Danio rerio: one gene and its partners. The protein of the gene in region 1 interacts with the protein of each later gene in a pairwise test. Links are inferred from orthologs where the notes say so. Each region holds a gene or a part of one and is shown in the gene's direction. Other genes may lie near its edges.

What was found.
Region 2: the proteins of exoc1 (region 1) and sfr1 interact in a two-hybrid assay, tested with the Homo sapiens proteins (2 studies listed by BioGRID and IntAct). The link is inferred for Danio rerio from reciprocal best matches to the Homo sapiens genes EXOC1 and SFR1.
Region 3: the proteins of exoc1 (region 1) and nup54 interact in binary tests that used the Homo sapiens proteins (3 or more experiments, as listed by UniProt). The link is inferred for Danio rerio from reciprocal best matches to the Homo sapiens genes EXOC1 and NUP54.

Annotation. Positions count from the first base shown.
Region 1 is NC_133195.1:28,554,632-28,561,850, reverse strand, and holds part of exoc1 (exocyst complex component 1), read left to right. Parts: intron 1-18; coding exon 19-149; intron 150-2,320; coding exon 2,321-2,480; exon of another isoform or gene 2,481-2,505; intron 2,506-2,757; coding exon 2,758-2,775; intron 2,776-3,948; coding exon 3,949-4,136; intron 4,137-5,017; coding exon 5,018-5,245; intron 5,246-6,839; coding exon 6,840-6,972; intron 6,973-7,051; coding exon 7,052-7,161; intron 7,162-7,219.
Region 2 is NC_133188.1:27,957,042-27,965,057, reverse strand, and holds sfr1 (swi5-dependent recombination DNA repair protein 1 homolog), read left to right. Parts: upstream 1-3,691; 5' UTR 3,692-3,852; coding exon 3,853-3,939; intron 3,940-4,108; coding exon 4,109-4,435; intron 4,436-5,610; coding exon 5,611-5,798; coding exon of another isoform or gene 5,799-5,802; exon of another isoform or gene 5,803-5,941; coding exon 5,942-5,945; 3' UTR 5,946-5,969; coding exon of another isoform or gene 5,970-6,145; 3' UTR 6,146-6,231; downstream 6,232-8,016. Other genes in the region: cfap43 (cilia- and flagella-associated protein 43), read right to left, coding at 5,970-6,145, 7,625-7,778, 7,886-7,966. UniProt on the Homo sapiens protein: Component of the SWI5-SFR1 complex, a complex required for double-strand break repair via homologous recombination. Acts as a transcriptional modulator for ESR1.
Region 3 is NC_133196.1:122,749-130,633, reverse strand, and holds the start of nup54 (nucleoporin p54), read left to right. Parts: upstream 1-3,560; 5' UTR 3,561-3,575; coding exon 3,576-3,612; intron 3,613-3,837; coding exon 3,838-3,930; intron 3,931-5,955; coding exon 5,956-6,033; intron 6,034-6,451; coding exon of another isoform or gene 6,452-6,580; intron 6,581-7,059; coding exon 7,060-7,143; intron 7,144-7,466; coding exon 7,467-7,604; intron 7,605-7,885. Other genes in the region: bxdc2 (ribosome biogenesis protein BRX1 homolog), read left to right, coding at 79-122, 541-611, 696-745, 1,079-1,152, 1,468-1,518, 2,487-2,588, 2,660-2,788, 2,971-3,222. UniProt on the Homo sapiens protein: Component of the nuclear pore complex, a complex required for the trafficking across the nuclear membrane.

The DNA of each region.
Region 1 (7,219 bases):
TCTTTTTGTTGTTTTCAGTGACTACAGAGCGTCCAGTGCAGGTGAAGGTGGTCAAAGTGAAGAAGTCGGATAAAGGAGATTTCTATAAGAGACAGATGGCATGGGAACTACGAGACCTGACAGAGGTTGATGCTAAAGATGCCAATAAGGTGAGAGGTTACATGAGAATCATTATAAGTGTAGCGGAGGCCAGCTAGCAAAGAGCTGTGCAGGTAAACCTCACTCCTCTGACCTCAAAACGTGCTCTAGCAACAGACGCTAGAGGTCATGGTCTTTAGTCTCCTTGTTAGACAGGGTTCATACTGTCATGGAAAACCTGGTAAAGTCATGGAATTTTGACAGTTGGAAAAGTCATGGACAACACATATCTGTATACTTTAATATAGGTTCGTTGTCTTTACTTCTTTTCTGTCCTTGGTTGATCAAATACTCTTACATTATTAGTGCAGTTTCAGCTTAAATAAATTTTACATAGACATAAATGTAAATTGGGTGTCATGGCGATGCCGTGGGTAGCACTATCGCCTCGGCTGGGTCAGTTGGCATCTCTGTGTGGAGTTTGCATGTTCTCCCTGTGTTCATGTGGGTTTCCTCGGGGTGCTCCGGTTTCCCCCACAAGTCCAAAGACATGCGCTATAGGTGAATTGGGTTAGCTAAATTGTCTGTAGTGTATGTGTGTGAATAAGTGTGTATGGATGTTTCCCAGTGATGAGTTGCAGCTGGAAGGGCATCTACTGCGTAAAACATATGCTGGATAATTTGGCAGTTCATTCCGCTGTGGCAACCCCAGATTAATAAAGGGACTAAGCCAAAAAGAAAATGAATGAATTAATAAATATAAATTGAAACTAATTTGATTGTTGCGTGTTTTAGTATATGCCGTAATAATTTTGGTATTATACAAATGTATTGTTTTTTACCATGCATATGTAGACATTGCATGAAACATTAGGTCATAAGAATTTACTTGAAAGTCTTGGGAAAAATCATGGAAAAGTCCTGGAATTTTTGTAGTAAAAATGTGTATGAAACCTTGTTAGAGCCACCGACTCCCATGCAAAAAAATCGCTGGTTCGATCCCAGCTCAGAACGGGTTGGATGGTAGGACTGGTGGGTTATATATCTGTTCAAGCATGACATAAATGCAAATAATCACATTTCTGTTACATATTGATATTATTATCTTACCGGTTGTTTGATGATGCTGGATACAGGTATATTTTAGGATTATTAATGTATTGTCATTAGTGGCTTTTGTATCATATTTTGAGATTTATTTACATTTGTAAAATAAAAAATAATAATTTTATTTATTTTTAAATGTCACTTATTTTATTTGTTGATTTGTCATTTTAGTGCTTAAACTTATTTCAGGTAGTTGCCAAAGCAACATTTTAAATTAGGATTTTCAACCTAATTTGTATTAAATGATTACATCTTTATTTATATTAATGGAAAAATCAGTTTCAGTCAACAGTTATCACACTTCTTTAGTATATATTTTTTTAGACTAACTAAACGTTTTTTTTTTATTTTTTATCATCGGTTATTTTAATACATCAGCACATACAAATACAGTCTCAGCTATACAGTAGGAAAAAAATTAAATTATATAGACAAGTAAACAGGATGATACAGTCAGGCTATGAGTATAAACCATAGAAGAGAAAATCTGGTGAAAATAATAATGAAAGGCCAAAAAGGTGTCCATAGCTGCCAAAAGTCATTGGACTTTTGATGTATGTCATAGATGAGTTTCTCAAGTGGTAGCATACACACTTGAGACAACCACATTTTATAGGAGGGTACCTGAGGAGATGACCACAATAAAAGTCTACTTTTCTTTGCCAAATAGACCAAGATTAAAACAAATGCTTGGTGTGGGAGTCCAACCTATTCTCTACTTCACCATATAACAAATACAATTCCAGAGAAAAACTCAATTGTATCTTAAAGAGTCCTTGTAGAAAATGATGTGCTTTCTTACAAAAAGAGATGATTTCTTCACAATGCCAGAAACCGTGAAGGAATGTTTCTTTGGATTTTTTACAGTTAAAACAAATCCAGACTAACTAAACATTTATGTACTCTTTAAATCTTAATTATTTAAGAACACTTAATTATACGGTGCATTATAATGTAATGTTATTCTATATAATGTAATATCATTCCTAAGTTCACTTGTAGAACTTTACAGCAATTACTTTTTTCTTGATTCTTATTCTTATTCTTACATTTACTTTTTTTTTAATCTAAAACTTATAATCAATGGGCATCAGCCTGTATGTAATTGATATCTTATTTTTTTTCCTTCATGCAGGAAAACCCAGAGTTTGACCTGCATTTTGAGAAGGTTTATCGTTGGGTGGCAAGCAGTACAGCAGAGAAGAATTCCTTCATCTCGTGTATTTGGAAGCTGAACCAGCGTTACCTTCGCAAGAAAGTGGAGTTTGTAAACGTCAGCCCTCAGCTGCTAGAAGGTGTGACTCGCTGCTACTCCTGGTGGTGTGGTGGAGTAATAGCATGTTAAACAGCCACTGTGTTTTAAGATGCAGTTACCTTAAAGCCATATGACAAATCTAAAGCTGTTACATAGAATTATTACATTTGCAGTGGTAGGGACTCTTTCTGTTTTCCTGCAGCTAGTTCTCTCTTTTCTCTCTTTGGGTCTCTTTTGGTTCTGCAATGTGTCTTTTTGAGTGCCCTTAATGCTTTAACCAGATCTGTGCTGTTCTCTCTAAATCTCTCACTGGCCAGAGCTTCCTAAAGCTGAAGGTTTGTACGCTGTTTTTTTCCACCTTTCATCCTCTTCCATTTCCTTCTCCATTTTTTCCATCTTCTCTTATTGTTTCCCCTTCATTAATGCTCTTATTTTCCGCCAATTAATTAGTTTGCTCAACTACTGATATCTTCATATATTTAGACAGTGCTCACCCTTTAGATTTTTTATGTGTGCTTGTTTTTTTATTACTTACATTTTATTTGTTCAGTAGATTAGTTTATGTACTCACATGCATATCTAAGCTATTGTTCAAATGTTTGGGGTTGGTTAGAGTTTTAAGAAATGTTTTAAATACCTGATATGTTCACTAAAGTTCTTTTTATTTATTGGAAAAACAGCTAAATTGTTTAAAGTGATAGTTTTAAATGGAATAGAAAATTTCCTCATCATTTACGTTCCTTTTATGAGTTTTTTTCTCCTGTGGAAGACCACTATGGAAGTCAATGTGTTCCAGAAGCCAGCATTTTTCTAAATATCTTTTTTATTTGTTTAACAGAAGACAGAAACTCAAATAGATTTTTAAACAAGTTAAGGGTGAATAGATTATACGATTTTCAGACACAATTTTCAGTTTTGGTGAACTATCACTTTAAAGCAGGTGTGTCCAAACTCGGTCACAGAGGGCCAGTGTCCTGCATAGTTTAGCTCCAATTTCCTTCAACACGCCTCCCTGGAAGTTTCTAGTATACCTAAAAAGATGGGGTTGAAACTAAAATCTTCAGGACACCGGCCCTTCAGGACCAAGTTTAGACACTCCTGCTTTAAAGTATTATCAATGTAACATATTATATACACAGTTTTACATATTTACATGTTTTTACAATGTAAATAACAGTTTTCACATACAAAGCAAATCTTTAGCTTAATTTTTTCAGTCTTTAGTGTCACCTCATTCTTCATCTGTTTCTTTAGGCTTCTTTAATAAAAAAGGTCTGCATTTGTTAATATTAATAAATGCATCAATAAAATAGCTACATTGACATAAAATATCTTTTGTGAATTTATGTTTTCACTGTCACTTTTGTATTTTTTTTCTTCTGAAGTATTTTATTTATTTATTTATTTTTTTTACAAAATTTACACTGACCCCAAACGTTTTAACAGTGGTGCATAATGTATAATATAAACACTTTTTTTTAATGATCCCTGTCTCTTCTTCTTCCCAGAGTCGGTTCCGAGTGGCGAGAGTCAGAGTGTTGCTGGTGGAGATGAAGACGCTCTGGATGACTATCAGGAGCTGAATGCCCGTGAGGAGCAGGACATTGAGGGCATGATGGAGGTCTGTGAATACGCCATTTCCAACGCTGAGGCCTTCGCAGAGAAACTGTCTCGTGAGCTTCAGGTCCTAGATGGGGTGAGTATGTTCAGATATTTCCTTGGCTGTAACAGAAATTGCCCCCTAGACCCTTAAATGATACACTTAATGCACATTCAAGGGAGCAGCCATTTGTAGAGGTGTCCGAAGCCAACATAGACATTCTGAAGTGCACTCAGAAAATCCCACAATTCACCTCAATATCGAGGGTACAGCTAGAGAATACCCATAATCAGTGATGTAAAGTAGCTAATTACTAATACTCTAATTACTGTAATTGAGTTGTCGGTCACGTTATACAGCAAAACAACAGCATATTCAATTCTACTATGGCAATTATCACCTCAAGTAGAGATTATATGCTTTATTTTATTTATTTTGGTTATCTCTATATGTGACATTTATTGCCATACAAAACTTGCAGAAGTCTAAACTGTGACTCAGTCACTTAAACCACATCTGTCACTCAGACTATGTAATAATGTTCTAATGAAGTTAAATACATATTAGTTAGATTATAACCTTCCATATTGTTGGCAGTGCAGTGGCTGATATTTAAATGAATGGCTAGTATTTAGATGTTTCTGTTGTGTCGCATTGTGTTTGATGCAATCGCTTGTTGCCGAAATCTTGAGTGTTATTAGAACATTGTTTTACCAAGCTGTTTAAAATCTAGTTTGATCTAGTCTGATGGATTTATGTCGTGTTAGCACCTGAAAAGTATTGATTGCACCAGTCATCAGGATTTTTATCTATATTGAGCCAAGTGTAATAATTATCTACAGGTCAAGGTGAGTGAGGCTTAAAGCTTGTCTGATTAGCAAGTAAATTATACAGTAGTTGCACGTAGTTTGATTATTGGTTGACAGTTGTATGATTTTAGAGATGGTGACTAATAATATCTCTTCCTCTTTGATCAGGCTAACATCCAGTCCATCATGGCGTCTGAAAAGCAGGTGAACACCCTGATGCAGCTGCTGGACCAGGCTCTGGCGGAGGTGGACACCATCGAGGGGAAGCTGCTCAGTTATGAGGAGATGCTGCAGAGCGTGAAGGAGCAGATGGACCAGATCTCACAGAGCAACCGTCTCATCCAAATCAGCAACACTAACAATGGCAAACTGTTGGATGAGATACAGTTTCTAGTGGTATGTTAGGGCACGGTATACAAGTGCACATCATAATTTTGGCGATGCAATCCTCAACAAGCATATACTGGTAGGGTGGAAAATTAGTGATCCATTGTGACCCATCAGTAGGCCCACACAGAATCCGCAGATTTTTTGCAGATTTCCACAGATTTTTAGCCCATCAATAATTCTGTTTATTTATTTGAGTAAATGTGTGTAAATATTTATTTATTCAGTTTTTTAAATATTTCTGTAATGTTATTGACTAATATGAAAATGTTTATCTGATCTATGTGCAATAAGTCTTTTAGTAGAGATATTAAATGAGAGATTTGCTTTGTTTGCCAAAAAGTGGATCTAATTGGATTTGCATTTTAAACATTAAATAAAAGTTAAAAAGATATAATTTTTATTTCACATATTAAGGTTTTAGTTATGATACTGCCAAAATAATTCTGCTGAAATCTGCAGATTTTTACCAAAATTCTCAGCAGAAATAGCTAATACAACGTCCGCAGATTCCGTCTGGCCCTATCAGAAACTGTTGCTTAAAGAACATGAATATTTGGTTGGCTATGAACAGTTTTATTTAATTTATTTATTTTTTGTTACTGTTTATTGTCCCCTTTTAGGGCAATTTGTTCTGGAGCACAATAGATTTACAAAATTGACAACACACACAAGACAGACAACATACAATATCAGTAGTACTAAAAACCTCGTCTTATTAGGATTTAGCAAGTCAATAGCACGAAAACAAATTAAAATTAAAATCTGTTAGACTTTGCCAAAGGGACCTTATATTGTAATCTGATGTGCTTTTCTTTAACATGTGGATTTCATACAAATGGATTTCATGCAATTTCACTCTCAGTAAGATTCAGATTATCTGTTAAAGTGTGTTGAAAACTTAATTAAACTGACCTCAAATCTAGATTTTTAAGTTTAGATTTTAAGGAAAAAAAAATTAATAATTCAGTAATAAAACCTTTTCTTTTACTGTTTTCTCATTCTTTACTTTTCCCTTATTGACCCTAGTTTGGGAAACTCTGCTTTTCCTGTATTTAAAGTGATAATTTTTTTACCAGAAAAATAAAGCTTGTGTTGTTTAATGGTCAAAGCATATTAAGCCACATATAAACTATGTAATGTTTTTTCTTCATTTAAAAAGTATTTTTTTTTTATTTTTATTTATTTATTTTATTTTATTTTAGATTACATTTCATCAATGTACAAACCCCTGGACCCCTATAGTCAATAGTTAATGGCTTAATTGTGGAATCTTGTATAAACATTTATTTGTCCCTAGACTTCTTTTGTATAATTAGATTTTCTTTACTTTGCCTTTGTAATCCAAAAAAAATCTGATTAAAAAATTTTCAATAAAAAAATGACAGTTTAATTACAACTTTGATGTTGTCTATTAGTTTCCCAGTACTGGGTTGCAGCTGGAAGGGCATCTGCTGCATAAAACATATGGTGGAATAGTTGGCGGTTCATTCCACTGAGGCAACCTCTGATAAATAGCTGAAGGAAAATGAATGAATGAATGAATATTGTCTATTATTTCAATTATTCTTTACCTTTTTTTATCTTCTTTTCATCATGTTAGAACTACATGGATCTTTCAAAAGGGCACATTAAGGCTTTGCAAGAAGGAGATTTGTCCTCTCCTAAGGGTATCGAGGCCTGTATCAACGCTTCTGAGGCTCTTTCACAGTGCATGAATGTTGCTCTCAAACCAGGTACTGCTTTCAAACTTCACCTCAAACTGTGTGAAAGCAGCACTTGCAGATCAGCATTGATGATTTTGTGTAATTCCAGGACACGATAAGCTGATGGCGATCAAGCAACAGCAGCATCTGTTTTCAGAGCTCAGAGATACTTTTGCCCGTCGTCTCACCAACCACCTCAACAATGTGTTTGTGCACCAGGTAACGTTATTACATGTGGTACAGGTAAAAAAATTTTTAATAAAATGTGTGCCATTGC
Region 2 (8,016 bases), on another chromosome or scaffold:
AACATTATTAAATGATGCTGAATCCCTGTTATGTGCTCTGAGTCAGTTCTAAAGTTCAGTTTCAAACGGTTTATTTTATTTTCAAAATCTGAGGTGAACTATCTGCTGCTGCTTTCAGTTTATGGTAATAAATGTCATGTTAAATGGCATTTAAACTCACATTGTTAGCATTTAACACTGAATAAAGCACATGAGCTGTAGCCTACCTGAGGTGATCGTTGTCAGTTTTCTGTTGTTCAGCTGCAAGAAATAGAGACTGTTCCTAATATAACAATTTCAGGTGTTGGTTAGAACAAAAACTCCTTTTAATATGGTAAATATACCTTCTATCGCAAGCTGTTGCTTTTGTAAAGAACATGATTTAAATTTAGCCTTTAGGCTCGATCATAAGACTCGCTCCAGTCCTCTATTTGGCAACCTGCGCTTGTGTTTGTTTTGATTCAGGAATGTTATACCTAGTTCAACCACTGGGTGTCAAACTTACATACTGCAACTGCACCATTGACAAACCAGTCATTTGAGAGAAGTTGCTGGTTTTTAAAGATTAGTTCATTTGATACTGGGCCTTTAATTGTATAATTTATTTGAGATTTATGAAGCATAAATAGTCTTCATTTCAGATTAAGTTACAAAATTGGATGAAGTTAAGTTAATAAAGCATTTATTAACAGACAAAATAACTATTAGTATATGCCTGAATAATAAGATATAAATATTGATTTGACTGATTTATTCATCGTTTACTAACTCAATTTGAATGATTCTAAAAGCCACCAACTACTCTTAAATACAAATGATTTGTAAATAATGCAATACTTAATTTAGTCATGAAAAATCTATTAACAACAAAGTATGAAAGTACAGATATTGAGCACATATTGAATGTGCTTATAAGTAAAAAAAATAGCATTTGTATCTGCAGTTATAAACTGAAGTGAAGAGGGGTTAATTAAGGATACGGTAGGCCTACATTTAGTTAAACTGTTAAAAAAGAGAAGAAAAAAGTAAATGCACAGCACTATTAGTTTTCTGCCAAGATATTATCCCATAATTATTCAATAAAATTAAGCTGTAAAAACAATAAATAAAAAAATTTATACATATTTATATTTGCCTTTTTTATCTATTTATTTTTTATATTTTTAGAATTTATTAAAGGAACTAAGCCGAAAAGAAAATGAATGAATGAACGAATTAATATTTTTAGAATCTATATCATGTTTATATCCAATGCAATTGGATTGTTGGTGATTGTGATTTAATTACATTACGATGTTAATACTGTAAAAAGAACCATAAGAACATAAGAACCATAGTCATTTTAACCTTTCCCCGGAAGTTTACCGTTGGTTAAAAAACACTGTGCACATAGCCCATTCAAGGATGTTCTTCTTATTATTTTTACAGGTTTTTAAATTGAATGCTATATTTATGTAAGTTAATGACTCATTATCAGTGAATCATCAGGTAACGACTGGATCATTGAACAACACAAGTATTCCAAATGGAATTCAGGACATTCAGTCTTCCCAGGGGAAAAGGGTGTTGTTTCTATTGAGATTAATATTTTTTTCTTTTGATTCATTTTTCCCATTGACCACACCCTGTTGACAAAATGCATATGATTCACAAAAGAGCTTTGACTCCACCTCATGTGCATCTCTCTCTCTCCCTGACCACTGAACTAGACCTCATTCAAATCACCGGGAAAATGTAAGAGAACATGATGAGTCTACAGCTATTAAACAATTATGGTATCACTGGCAAGCGAGTTATAACAAGATTTGCAGAAGAAGCAGAACAGTCGTGAGCTTAAATAAAAACACGTGAATGTTCTGAACCACAGATGCAATATGACTCTGATTTTTTCCCTTTATGAATGTGTTACTTAACTGTTATTGTTTATCAATGTTTCTCCAAATCCATAATTATTCTGTGTGCAGACAGTGCTTACTGAGCATGTCTGTTATATAAACACTGCATAACTGGGCTCATCAGTGTAGATTCAGAGTTTGATTCATTTCAACATCATTCATTTTGACTAATTTATCCCAGTAATTTTCTTGTAGCTGTTGTTGTGTAATGGTCAATTTAATAATCAATACTGGCTAACTGATCTGTTAAAATATAAATTTTCTGTATTATTTTGTGAATTAAAGATAATTAAAATAAAACGCTAAGGCACAGATTTTTTTTTTTTTAGTGGGGAAAAGCGGGCACGAAAGTACCATTTTTCATAAAAACCTGTTGTGTGCTCAGTTGTTATTTTCTCTCAGCAAAGAACAACTCCAACTTTAAACAAAAGTTGCACATTGTTACTGAAAGTAACACACGGGTGGGTCAAAAGTAGCACAACAATATTTGCTAGATTCACTGACGTAATCTTGTTCATTCATTCATTCATTCATTCATTCATTTCATTTCATTTTCGGCTTGGTCCCATTATTCTTGAGGGGTTGCCACAGTGGAATGAACCACCAACATTTCCAGCACATGTTTTTTTACACAGCGAATGCCCTTCCAGCCGGAACCCAACACTGGGAAACACCCATACATTCTTGCATTCACACACATACACAACGGCCAATTTAGCTTATTCATTCACCTGTACCACATGTCTTTAGACTGTGAGGGAAACAGGAGCACTCAGAGGAAACCCACACCAACACGGTGAGAACATGCAAACTCCACACAAAAATGTCCCAGCCAAGGCTCTAATCAGCGACCTTCTTGCTGTGAGGCGATCATGCTACCCACTGTGCCACCGTGACGCCTATCCTTGTCTTTTTTTTTTTTTTTTTGGCAAAAAAATACTGAACTGCATTTTCATTTTAAATTTCAGTTCCATCAAATGTTACAAAAGCAATCCAACAATGCAAAATGTTAATATTTTATACAAATTTTCAAGATTATTTAATTATTATTGGCAATATGCATCAATCTTATAAAGCATATGAGCCAAAACACTGAACACTAACGTGGAAGTGAAAATAAGGCATGGCTATTAGCAGTGGGACACAAATAACAGTGTTACTTTCGTCGCCACAGGAACTCTTGCCATTTAAACCTGCTTTACTTTTAAACTGAAAAACTTAGACATTGCAAACTGAAGGATGTGTTATTGCACTAAATAACCTGTAGATTGGTCATTACCGTAACACATGAAAAGAGAAACACAACTTGTAATGAGGAAAAAAGTAGCATACACTAATTTTCTTTTTCCACTTCAAAACTGAAATTTAGACCAAACTGCAGGACAAGGTCGCAAAATCAGCTGATATTTGTCATCTCCATCAAGGGCTGCATGCTAAATGTGCTGTTATAGCCTGGAAATCAAATGTAACAATGCTTTTGTTACCCACTCTCCGCTACAGTTTCTTCCTACAGTTTTATAATGTAATTGTCTACCACGCTGTATAAAATATGTCTTAAATCAGCAAGCTATACAAAGATAAAATGGCTGTACTGTGCTAGTTTGTGCATTGAAACTGTTGTCTCACAAGACTACACTCAATATACATATAACGAAATCCCTACAAATTAAAGGACAGCAACTTTCCTTTATTTATGTGGCCACTAAGATAAGTTAAATTCATTATAACTAAATTTAGAGCAAACAAAATACACTAATAGTTCTTTTAGACTACATTACCCATGAGTCTTGTTAATAACAACGACGCAACAAGGTCCCGGAAGTGACGACGAAACAAATGGCACCAGTTTCAAAACAGCTGTGTTCACTGACAACTTTAGAAATGGAAGATCATATTCGCACAGAACTGCTTTGGAGAGTACTAAATCACAAATGATAAAGTTATGTAGTCGTTTTTTTCTTTTCGTATCTTGTAAAACATGGAGACAACCCCGATAAAACCAACAGCAGCTGATGAAACTACGCCAAGCGCCGAGCAGTCTTCAAACAGGTCCAGTACTGCAAAGGTAAAGCTTATTGTCTTTTTGACTTTATACGATATTTGTTTTCACATAAACTAACATTAGCGAAAAAGATAGATCACTTTTTCTTTCTTACATGTTATTTTTCGTCGAAACATAATTCTGCTGCATGTCTGAGCTTTCTTTTGATCATTGTTGACATTGTTTTCTTCAGCCCATGAGTGCCTCGCTGAGGGAGAAGCTAAAAAGATCTCGACACTCGTTCAAGTCTCCCCTCAGTGTGGTAAAACGACTCAAAATAGAGGATGACACTGAGCCTCAGCCTTCACAGCAGGGAGAAGAAGAGAAACACGGTGTCAAAGACGACAGAGACTCTAACGTTACAGAGACTGATGTCAACAGGAATGACATGAAGCTGCAGAGAGACTCGAACCACACAGCTGAGCTCCCCAGTCAGCAATGCGAAGCGCTGAGAAAAGCGGTGAAGGAGAGAACAGAAACCTTGAGGAGATTAAAGATGGTCAAGATGTACAGGAAAAAGGTAAATATAAATTCGTAAATTATGGCTGGGAGACAACAACAAAAAACTAATATAATGAAAATATAATATAAGTCATCTCATATGTTGATATATGTATATATGCCTTTTTGTAAGTTCTGTAAAAAATTAGAAAATTAATGGAGTTTCTAAATTGACCACTTGGAATTTTAAAATTACGTTTTTATTTTAATTTCTATACTAAAAAATTCTATATGTTTTTTAAATTTTATCCCTTAATTTAGAACTCGAGGGACACGAGAGAAGAATGTAGAAACTTGAAATAAATATTAATGAAATATAAGTCACTTTTCAAAAACTAATGATCGCAGGCACACCATAACAATATGCTTAGATATATTGAAAAATCATTGTTATTGCAGTAATAGTATATGCAATATCCAAATCTCTTGCTGATATTCTCTTGCTATATTCTCTAAGCACTAACTGTTCCTTTGTATAATTAGCCCGTGCTGTATGTACTGCCTCGTACTGATGATTTGCCTCAATTGTAAGTCACTTTGGACCAAAGTGTGTGCCAAATGACTAAATGTATATCACAGGGAAGTGCAATAAATTAAATTACTTTTATGTTTTTGTATTTCATAGAGGCCTTAACTATCTTAATGCCCACCTTTACAGTAGGTGAACCTAGAGCTGAAAGTGAATATTAATGCTGGGAGACAAGATATTAAATTGACAGCAGCCAATGAGAATCAGAACTCCAGCAGTGGTTTTCAGTTATTCAAGGTGTTTTAAAGTCTAAATGTTTGAACCTTGACACATTTTTTTAAAATTGGCTCAAAGAATCATATACCTGTCTATTTTAGTATAATCGTAGAGTAAATAAATTATTTTTGTCAAAAAAATTGCTAATAAAAAGTTTGTTATATCATAGGAAATATTGTTATTGCAACACTCAACAGTACCATCGCATATTGCATATTTTCTCCAGTATCGTGCAGCCATAATATAAAATATATTCACGTTTCATCCAAATGGTGAAAAATGATTACATGCAAACATTGTATTTTGAGATGCCACAAACTAAATGACAGAGTCTAATATAAAGCGATACTTTTTATTTTGTACTTCTGATGAATATCACCATAAGTAAGTAAATGATTTATTTGTGAGCGAAGCATACTGCTCTTGAAGCTGTTTTTCTCTCTCCACAGAATGACTTGAATGAGTTGCAGAGGCTCACAGACAAATGGAGATCCTGTGCTCAGTCTGTGCTGTATGAACTACAGAGAGAACTGGCCACAGGTGGAAAACAAGCCAGTCTTTCACAACTTATTGACAGCTTTGGGATTAATGATAAACTACTGCACTTTGATAGGACAGAGGAAGACTTCACAGACACGTGAATACATTTCAGCAATTTTTATTCACAGTTCAAACAGATTGCAGCGAGCTTTGTTCATTAAAACGTTTGCGAAGAAAGATTGTCAATTGATTGAACTGTATAATAATTTATTGCACCTTTGTGTGTTGTTTATTGTTTAGGTAAAGTTGTTGCGTTTTGTATGTAGAGTCAGTTGTAGTGCAGTTGCGAGAGAGACGGGAAGTTCTTCATGCGCAGTTTCTCCAGCTCCGCTCTCAGCAGGAGCAGCTCTTCAGACTGAGCTCTGGCGATGGCCAGCAGCTTCTTTCTCAGGAGGATGTCCTGGTAGTTCTTGTCTGACTCTGTTTCCTGGTTATCTTCCATTGCTGGAAAAAGAAAATGTTATCAAATTTTGTGAGCTGTTCAGGCTCCTATGCATTTTTAGCACCATTAATAAATATGGATAAACAGCTATGGTGAGTCCTAATTCATCAACCATAGGCAGAATGTACAAATCGTTTGTTATTAAAAATATATTTTTCTTTAATTCGATATACTTCTGTTCATAGGGTATTTTTTAAAGAGTTCTTATTTAACTTATAAACATTAATCAGTAAATGATGATCAATATATAGATACACAATTTGTTTATATGAAGGCCAAGCTGAATAACTCCAGTAGTCAAATTATTCATCAAAAAAAGCATTTTTGAGCAGTTTAATCAATCTCTGCTGTTTAAGTGTCAATTATGATAATTTATCTCAGAATTCTGCGTATTGTTTTTACAGATTAAGATACTTTGTTCTGCACAATTTATAAAATGACTGTTAAAGTCAGAATTATTAGCCCCCTTTGATTTTTTTTTTCTTTTCAAAATATTTCCTAAATGATGTTTAACAGAGCAAGGACATTTTCACAGTATGTCTGATAATATTTTTTATCAGTTTTTAATTTTTTAATTACCCTAACCTGCCTAGTTAACCTAATTAACCTAGTTAGGCCTATGACTTTAAGCTGTATAGAAGTGTCTTGAAAAATATCTAGTCAAATATTATTTACTAACATCCTGAGTCTGACAAAGATAAAAAAAAAAAAAAACAGGGGCTAATAATTCTGACTTTAATTGTAAATGTACAATAGTTATTTAACAAATAAAACAGAATATGCTTTGAAAGACAGTGTTAAAATATAAATATTAATAATTGCAGTTAATTATTTTTTGGGGCTCCAATATGAGTTTTTAAATATCAAATTTACATATGCCTTTTATGTAAACTTGTTAAAATTCCAATTTAATGGGTGGCTTTTGTAAATTATGGTAAAATATATGTTAAAATGTAAACAACATTTTAATGTAAAAACAAAGCTGTATTGAATTTTTTAGATTTATTTTTGGCCTTTTTTAAAATAGTAAGATAGTATAGAGACAAGAAGCAAAGTTAGAGAGAGAGAGAGAGAGAGAGAGAGAGAGGCGTAGGGAAATGTCCTCGAGCCAGGATTCGAACTCTGGTCACTCTGACGTGCTACTGCACCACATGTCGGCATGCTAACCACTAGGCTATTGCGCAGACATTGCTTTTTTGTTTTGATGCTAGAAACCCCCTTTTTGTTTTGTTTTTTGCCCATGAATTTCAATTTTTTTTTAAAAATGTTTGAATTTTACATTTTTTTATTACCCTATTGAATTTAATTGAAATTAATTTGCTTTAAAGAAATGTATTGACCCCAAACCTTTGAATAATAGTGTAATCAAAATATTCTCACGTTCCTGAACAATGAAACTACCACAGACTCTGTTTCTGCTAAAAGTATATTGATACTTGGATGAATTCTGTCTTTAATGGGCAAGACATTAGGTCAGTTACCAGCAGCCTCGTAAAAATTTCTCCTCTCTGCCACCGTTATCTCCATTTCTGCCACTCTCAAGTCAAGGGCTGCGTTCTTCTCCTGCATCTTTGCAACTTGTCTGTCCAGCTGCCTTTTCTGTTTCTTGCAAATCTCAATTTTCTTTTGATGAGCCTGTGGCAAGAGGGGAGCTAAATCAAACTTTTATATTTGAAATACTCATTAAAATCACTTTTCATCCTATTTATAGAAGGTGCTTGACAAATAACAATGAAGCTTACCGTTTTCTGTAAATCTAAGGTCCTCTCAAGAGTTGTGAGTTGCTTTGACACCCTGTTGTCATTATTTGTTTCATTCAGGTACTGACATAAACAATACAAAGAAACAAATATTTATAATTGCAATACAGAAA
Region 3 (7,885 bases), on another chromosome or scaffold:
TCTCTCACACACACACACACACACACACACACACACACATGTGCGCGCGCTGATGCTGAGTCTCTGTTCTGTTTTCAGACACAAAGATGGACAGAAAAGACAAGCTCTTCGTGGTGAACGAGGTACAGCAGCTCGCTGCGCCCGGCTGACTCTGGCCTGTGCAGCAGACTCAGATTCTGCTGTTCTCACACACCGTCTGCATCTGCAGACACTTTAAGCCAAAGTGTTGAATGTGAATCTCTAAAACTGCAGAATTTTGATCAAAACTGTTGTAATTTTTATCTTATCATCATCATTTATGTATTTACCTTGTGTATTATTTATTTCTGTTAATCACTTTTAATTATTAGAACTTTAATAAATATAGTGAAGTGTGTTTATAAACTCTGGAAACCTTGATCTGTTTTATTGTGCCATGACAGCCATAGAAGCTGAAATGACAATAAAATTAAAGCTCTCTCTCACCTGTGTGTGCGTGTGTGCGTGTGCGTGTGTGTGTGTGCGTGTGTGTGTGTGTGTGTGTGTGTGTGTGTGTTTCAGGTCTGTGAAATCAAGAACTGCAACAAGTGCATCTTCTTTGAGGCCAAGAAAAAGCAGGACCTTTACATGTGGTGAGCAGCACAGCAGTGTGTGTGTGTGTGTGTGTGTGTGTGTGGTGTGTGTTCATGTTCACAGTATCTGCTCTTCTCTTCCAGGATCTCTAATGTTCCTCACGGACCGTCGGTGAAGTTTCTCGTTCAAAACGGTACAAGTCCATTAAAATTCCACCAATGGAAACACACACACACGCGCACACACACACACACACACACACACACACACGCGCACACACACACACACACACACACACACACACACACACACACACACAGGGTCTGGGCTATACTGTGCATCAGTGTGGGGGTTTGCTGAATATAATTATGCACAATTAATCAGTGATTACCGCAGTGCGTGTGTGTGTGTGGGTGCGTTCGTGTGTGTGTTTGCATGTGTGTTTGCGTGTGTGTGTGTGTGTGTGTGTTTGCGTGTGCATAAGTGTTGAAGTGTTTGAAGAGCAGCAGCTTTATTTCTCTCTCAGTTCACACTCTGGCGGAGCTGAAGATGACCGGGAACTGCCTGAAGGGCTCCAGACCACTGCTGTCCTTCGACCCGGTGCGTGTGTGCGTGCGTGCGTGTGTGTGATGATGATGATGATGATGTGCGTGTGTGATGATTGTGTGTTCAGTATAATAATGATGATTGTGTGTGTGTGATGTTGTGTGTAGTGTAATAATGATGTGTGTGTGTGTGATGATGATGTGCGTGTGTGATGATGGTGTGTGTAGTGTACGAATGATGATTGTGTGTGTGTGTGTATGATGATGATGATGAGCGTGTGTGATGATGGTATGTAGTGTAATAATGATGATTGTGTGTGTGTGTGTGTGTGTGTGTGTGTGTGTGTGTGTGTGTGTGTGTGTGTTTCAGGCGTTTGACTCGGAGCCGCAGTACGCACTGCTGAAGGAGCTCTTCACTCAGGTGCTCTTCAGTGTTTGTCCTCTGTTCTTCATCTCTTCCTCTCTGATCTTCCTCTCTGATCTTCATCTCTCTCTGATCTTCATCTTCCTCTCTGATCTTCCTCTCTGATCTTCCTCTCTGATCTTCATCTTCCTCTCTGATCTTCCTCTGATCTTCATCTTCCTCGTCTGACTCTGGCATGTAGGGTTGCAGATGCTGGATGTGTGGTTGTAGTCTGAGGAAGACTCTGTCATGTGTAATGGCGCTGCTGTGCTGCATCAGCTGGTGACAGTATAGAGCTCTTCACTGCGGCTCGCTGCCTGATGCACAGCAGACCCAGCAGCATTTCCCTGTGGACTCAACAGAAGACAAGAGTTTCTGGCATTTAAACATGAGGAATAATGTGTTCACTGAAAATAAACGACAGATCAATCAGTCAGTCAGTGAGCACAATAACAGCTGTCTGTATTATTGATGTGGTTGTGAGTATTGGCCTGTAGAGAGAGTGTGTGCAGTCGCAGGCTGCATTAGGAGTGTGTTTGCTGTTCATCTCGTGTTTCTCTCATGAGCAGTAATGTGTGTGTTCCATATGAAGGATGAAGCTGATTGGTCCATTCTAGTCACGTGATGCACAGTGCGCTCGCACCGTTCTTTTAACCTGGTGTGCCTGGAAAGCGTGAGCACATCGTGCCGCTCACGAAAAAGCAAACTAGCTTGTAGAAAAGACGGCATGTGAGAACAGCCCTCAGTGATCAGCCCCCGCCATAGCTACAGCCGCCTTTAATCCAGTGTGTGTGTGTGTGTGTGTGTGTATTCGCCCCAGTGTACATGCTCAGGACTTAAACTAGCGCACAGACTGGTTTAAACTGGCTTATAGCTGGTCTAGACTGGTTTATAGTTGGTCTAGGCTGGTTTATAGCTGGTTTAGACTGGTTCAAACTGGTTTGTACTGGTCTGCAATGTCCACTAACACTGCTCGTGTCCTGCAGGTCTTCTCCACCCCGCTGCACCACCCTAAGAGTCAGCCGTTCGTGGATCATGTCATCAGCTTCAGCATTGCAGACCACAGGATCTGGTTCCGGAACTATCAGGTGAGGTTCTGCGGTTCTGAGAGGATCTGCGGTTCTGCGGCGCTCCACTGACCGCTGTTCTCCTGTTGCAGATCGTGGAGGAGGACGCCTCGCTGGTGGAGATCGGCCCGCGCTTCGTCCTCAACCCCATACGCATCTTCCAGGGCAGCTTCGGCGGACCCACGCTCTACGAGAACCCACACTTCCAGTCACCCAACGCGGTCAGCAGCGCACACACACACACACACACGCACGCACGCACGCACGCACGCACGCAGCACTGTCTGCTACTGATCTGTTATTGATCTGAGTGTTAATATTGTTTTGGTGTGTGTGTGTGTGTGTGTGTGTGTGTGTGTGTGTGTGTGTGTGTGTGTGTGTGTGTGTGTGCGCGTGTGTGCAGCACCGGCGCATGCTCCGACTGGCTGCAGCCGCGCGGCAGAAGGAGCGTCAGATGGTGAAGCAGGTGCGGATGGAGAAGCGGATGGAGGAGTGTGTGCTGCTGCAGCCTGACCTGACGGAGGCCGTGTTCAACACCCCGGCGGAGCCCAAAGCCCCACGGCCGGAGGCCCCGGGGCCCCAGAAGAAGAAGAAGAAACGGCTGACGGAGCTGAAGAAGAAGACCCTGATGAAGAAGAAGGGCCTGAGTGTGTGAATCTGCACGAGTGTGTGTGTGTGTTCATGATCATCATGGTGTGTTAATAAAGATGTTTTATTAATGTTGACGGTTGTGTCTCTGTCTTCATGTCGTCTGCTGACTGCAGCACATCCTGAGCCGCAACTGAATAACGGCCAGGTTTAATGTCCCAACATGGCGGACTCTGAGTGCAAAAGCACAGTTGAACATTTGAGCGGCGCTGTTCTGCTGATGAGCTCCAGTTTCACTTTAATCTATATCAATGTTTTCGCGCGCTACGCCGGAGGAGTGTGTGACGCGACGCTACCGGTAGGAACCTCTTGTTCACAGCTTTTGTTTCCGGGCGGACCGTTTCGCTCAGGACCGGAAGCATGGCGTTCAACTTCGGCGGCGCGTCGGGCAGCGCGAGTGAGTAAAATTAATCTAAAACTATTAATAATGAACATTAAACATGATGACGGCGCTGCAGGAGCGCTGATACTGCTGTAAACCTGATACCACTGTGCTGTAAACCACTGGCGCTCATCTCATCTGCTCTGTGTGTGTGTGTGTGTGTGTTTTCATTACTGTGCGGCTGCTGTTGTGCGTTCATAACTGTGTGTGTGTGTGTGTGTGATGGTGATGATGATGAAGGCGCTCCGGGCTTCTCATTTAAGTCATCTTCATCCACTCCGTTTGGTTTCGGCGCCTCAACCACAACCACCGCCAGCAGCGCCACGGGCTTCGGTAAACACACACACACACACACACACACTCTCCCTCTCTCCCGGGCCTGTGAGGTAAAGCTAGTTTAATATGTTCAATTTGTGATCAGTGACGTTTTTTGATACTCTTCACTCCAGTATACACTACAGTACACACTACACACTCCAGTATACACTACACACTCCAGTATACACTACAGTACACACTACACACTCAAGTATACACTACACACTCCAGTATACACTACAGTACACACTACACACTCCAGTATACACTACACACTCCAGTATACACTACAGTACACACTACACACTCAAGTATACACTACACACTCCAGTATACACTACAGTACACACTACACACTCAAGTATACACTACAGTACACACTACACACTCCAGTATACACTACACACTCCAGTATACACTACAGTACACACTACACACTCCAGTATACACTACACACTCCAGTATACACTACAGTACACACTACACACTCCAGTATACACTACACACTCCAGTATACACTACAGTACACACTACACACTCCAGTACACACTACACACTCCAGTAACACTCCAGTACCGCTGCTGTGCTCTGCAGTATTGGCTGGTAGCAGGAGTTCACTGTAGAGTCTGCTAGTGAGCTCTGTCAGGGGTTGTGTTGGGGTGAAGGTCTGCATGTGTCACCCCGCCGGTCCCACACCACCCAACCTGCACTGAGCTGGGATCAAACCGGCGACCTTTCGCATGTTAAGGCTGATTTATACTTCTGCGGCAAACGGTGGCGTATGCTACGCCGCTGACCAATAGCCATTCGCCGTGGCCATCGGCGTCGCTGACGTGCACCTCTCAAAAAATGTAACTACACGTCACAACAACGCGTAGCGCAAGCTCTGTGATTGGTCGGCTTGGTATCGCTGACGAGTCTGGGCGGGACCGAGAGCCGCGCGAATGTTTACAAGTGAAGGAGCTCCGGATGGAGAGTTTTGTTCTGTGTTTCCCTCATGGTTACAGTTGCTGCACGTCCGCCGGTTCCTGCCTCAAAATGAGCGAGTTTGAGCCACTTGTACATCCAGGAAGTGTTCAGGATAGCAAAACAGCAGCGAAGAAACTCGACACAGAGGAACATTTACACCTCACTGCCCACTAGTGCTTCAGAAGTGTTAATGCAGACCAACAGAGCTAGCAACAGCAGTATAAGCACAGCTACACGCGTTACATGCGCCGTGGGTCACGCCGCTCACTTGCTGCAGAAGTATAAACCAGGCCTTACAAGGAGGCGAAACACCATGGCCTCTAGTGTCTGTCGCTAGAGCACCTCTAGAGGTCGGAGGATCGAGGTTTACCTGCACAGCACTCACTAGCTGACCTCCATTACACATAACAGCAGCGCTCCCCCAGTTCCCTCCTCAGCACACACACACACACACACACACACACACACACACACACACTCTGCTCTCGTCATCTGCACTCTGCATCTGAGTGGTGTGTGTGTGTGTGTGTGTGTGTGTGTGGTCAGGGTTCTGCTGGTTGTTGGTTATATTGACCTGTCACAGTTCAGTCAGAGTGAGTTGTATGCTGTAATGATGACGGGGTCACTGTGGTTAGAGAGATGTGCTGCAGTTCAGCTGCCGTCAGCAGACCACACCGTCAACCCTGCTGCTCTTCCTCCCGCCGTTCTCCTGTATGTGACGGTTCTGTCCCGATATCATCCTGTAAAGCTGTTTCTCTGGAGGCTGGCAACAAACATCAGAGCCGATCCTCCCTATACACAACCCAGACTGCTGATCCACCAGGGGGCGCCGCTTGCTCTTCACTGCGGGTCTGTTCTGTGGTTTCGTTATGTTCAGGCATGAAAACAGTTATAATTAACTATAATAACAGCAGGATTCCCTTCCTCTCCATCACAGACAGCATCGCCCCTATACAGTCCTCTAATGCAGTATAGCACACAGCCTTCATCCTCATCATCAGTAATGTTTCACTGCGCGTGCACACACACACACACGCACGCGCTGCTAACATGCTGTTGCCATGGTTACAGGTCTGACCGGAACCGGCTTTGGAGCGCCGACCACCACATCAGCTTCCACAGGCTTCGGCTTCGGCACTGGTGGCACGGGTGAGTGTGTGTGTGTGTGCTGTCTCTAACACACTGACTGACTCTCTTCTGTGTGTGTGTGTGTTTGTGAGCGAGCACGTGTGTGCGCATACGTGCATATGCTGTCACTAACCCACTCTCTCTCGTGTGTGTGCGCGTGCGTGCGAGCATGTGTTTGCTTGCGTTCACGTGTGTGCGTGTGTGCTGTATCTAACAAACTCTCTCCTGTGTGTGTGTGTGTGTGTGTGTGTGTGTGTGCGTGTGTGCATGCGCTGTCTTTAACACACTCTCCTGTGTGTGTGTGCGCTGTCTCTAACACACTGACTCTCTCTCTCCTGTGTGTGTGTGTGTGTGTGTGTGTGTGTGTGCGCGCTGTCTCTAACACACTGACTCTCTCCTGTTTGTGTGTGTGTGTTTCTCCTGGGGCCGCTGTGGTCAGGATTCGGGCCCCTGGTCTGCAGTGCGGGCCCTGGCCCCGCCCCCTCTGCCGCTGCTGTTAGTTTCGGCGGGTTCGGTTTGGGCCCTGCGGCCCCGGTGTTCAGTTTCGGCAGCGGCCTCGGGGGAGCAGGTAGATGAGCTCCGAGAGGTCAAAGGTCACGCATGATCAGATCACGCCACGCCTCCATCCCTGTGTGTGTGTGAGAGAGAGAGAGAGAGTGACAGACAGACAGACGTAGTGTGTGTGTGTGTGTTGGTGCCACTCTGATCATGTCATCAACAGTTAGTGCTCATCATCTCCGGTGTGTGTGTGTGTTTTCATCTTGTGTGTTTTTTTCGTCTCTGTTGTGTGCGTGAGTGTGTGTGTGAGTGTGTTTTTCATCTCCGGTGTGTGTGTGTGTGTGTGTGTGTTTTCATCTTGTGTGTTTTTTTCGTCTCTGTTGTGTGCGTGTGCGTGAGTGTGTGTGTGAGTGTGTTTTTCATCTCCGGTGTGTGTGTGTGTGTGTGTGTGTGTGTGTTTTCATCTTGTGTGTTTTTTTCGTCTCTGTTGTGTGCGTGTGCGTGTGTGTGAGTGTGTGTTTTTCATCTGTGGTGTGTGTTTGTCTCCAGCAGGAGCGTTTGGCGGGTTCGGCTCCACCACCACCTCCGCCGGCACTGGGTCAAGCTTCAGTTTCTCCACACCGGCTAACACAGGTACAGGCGCACACACACACACACACATACAGAGAGAGAGAGAGGAGAGATGCTGCGTCCCGTGCACACACACTGCAGAGTTACTACACACACCTCACACACGTCTCTAACACACACAGTGTTAGGGTGTGGTGTGTGTATCTGAAATGGGACACTGTGTGTGTATGTGTGCGCATGCGTGTGTGTGTATGCTTGTGTGTGCGCATGCATGCATATGTGTGTGTGTGTGTGTGTGTGTGTGTATGCTTGTGTGTGCGCATGCGTGTGTGTGTGTGTGTTTGTGTGTGTGCTTGTCTCTGAGCGCGTCTCCTCTCCGCCTGCAGGTTCGAGTCTCTTCAACACCCAGAGTAAGGGCTTCGGCTTCTCCAGCGCTCCGGCTCCGGCTTCAGGCTTCACTGGGGCTCTGGGTGGAGGAGCTCTGGGCTTTGGAGGCTTCGGTGCGCTGCAGAACACACAGCAAGGTGAAGTCAGAGCCACACACACACACACACACACACACACACACACACACACACAGAGCAGTGGAAACAGCTGATATTCTGCATAAAGCACATGGAGCTGGAGTGAATGACAGTCCAGCAGAGGAGTCTGTTGAAGCAGGAGTGTCGGCCGGCGGGCCGTGAGAGAGATCTCCATATTACTCTGTATTTCTCGCTGCATTAGATGATGTCAGTCATGTGCTCAATCCTGCTCTCTGATTGGTTACTTCAGAACTGGCTGCAGGATGGGCCTCATGATGGCG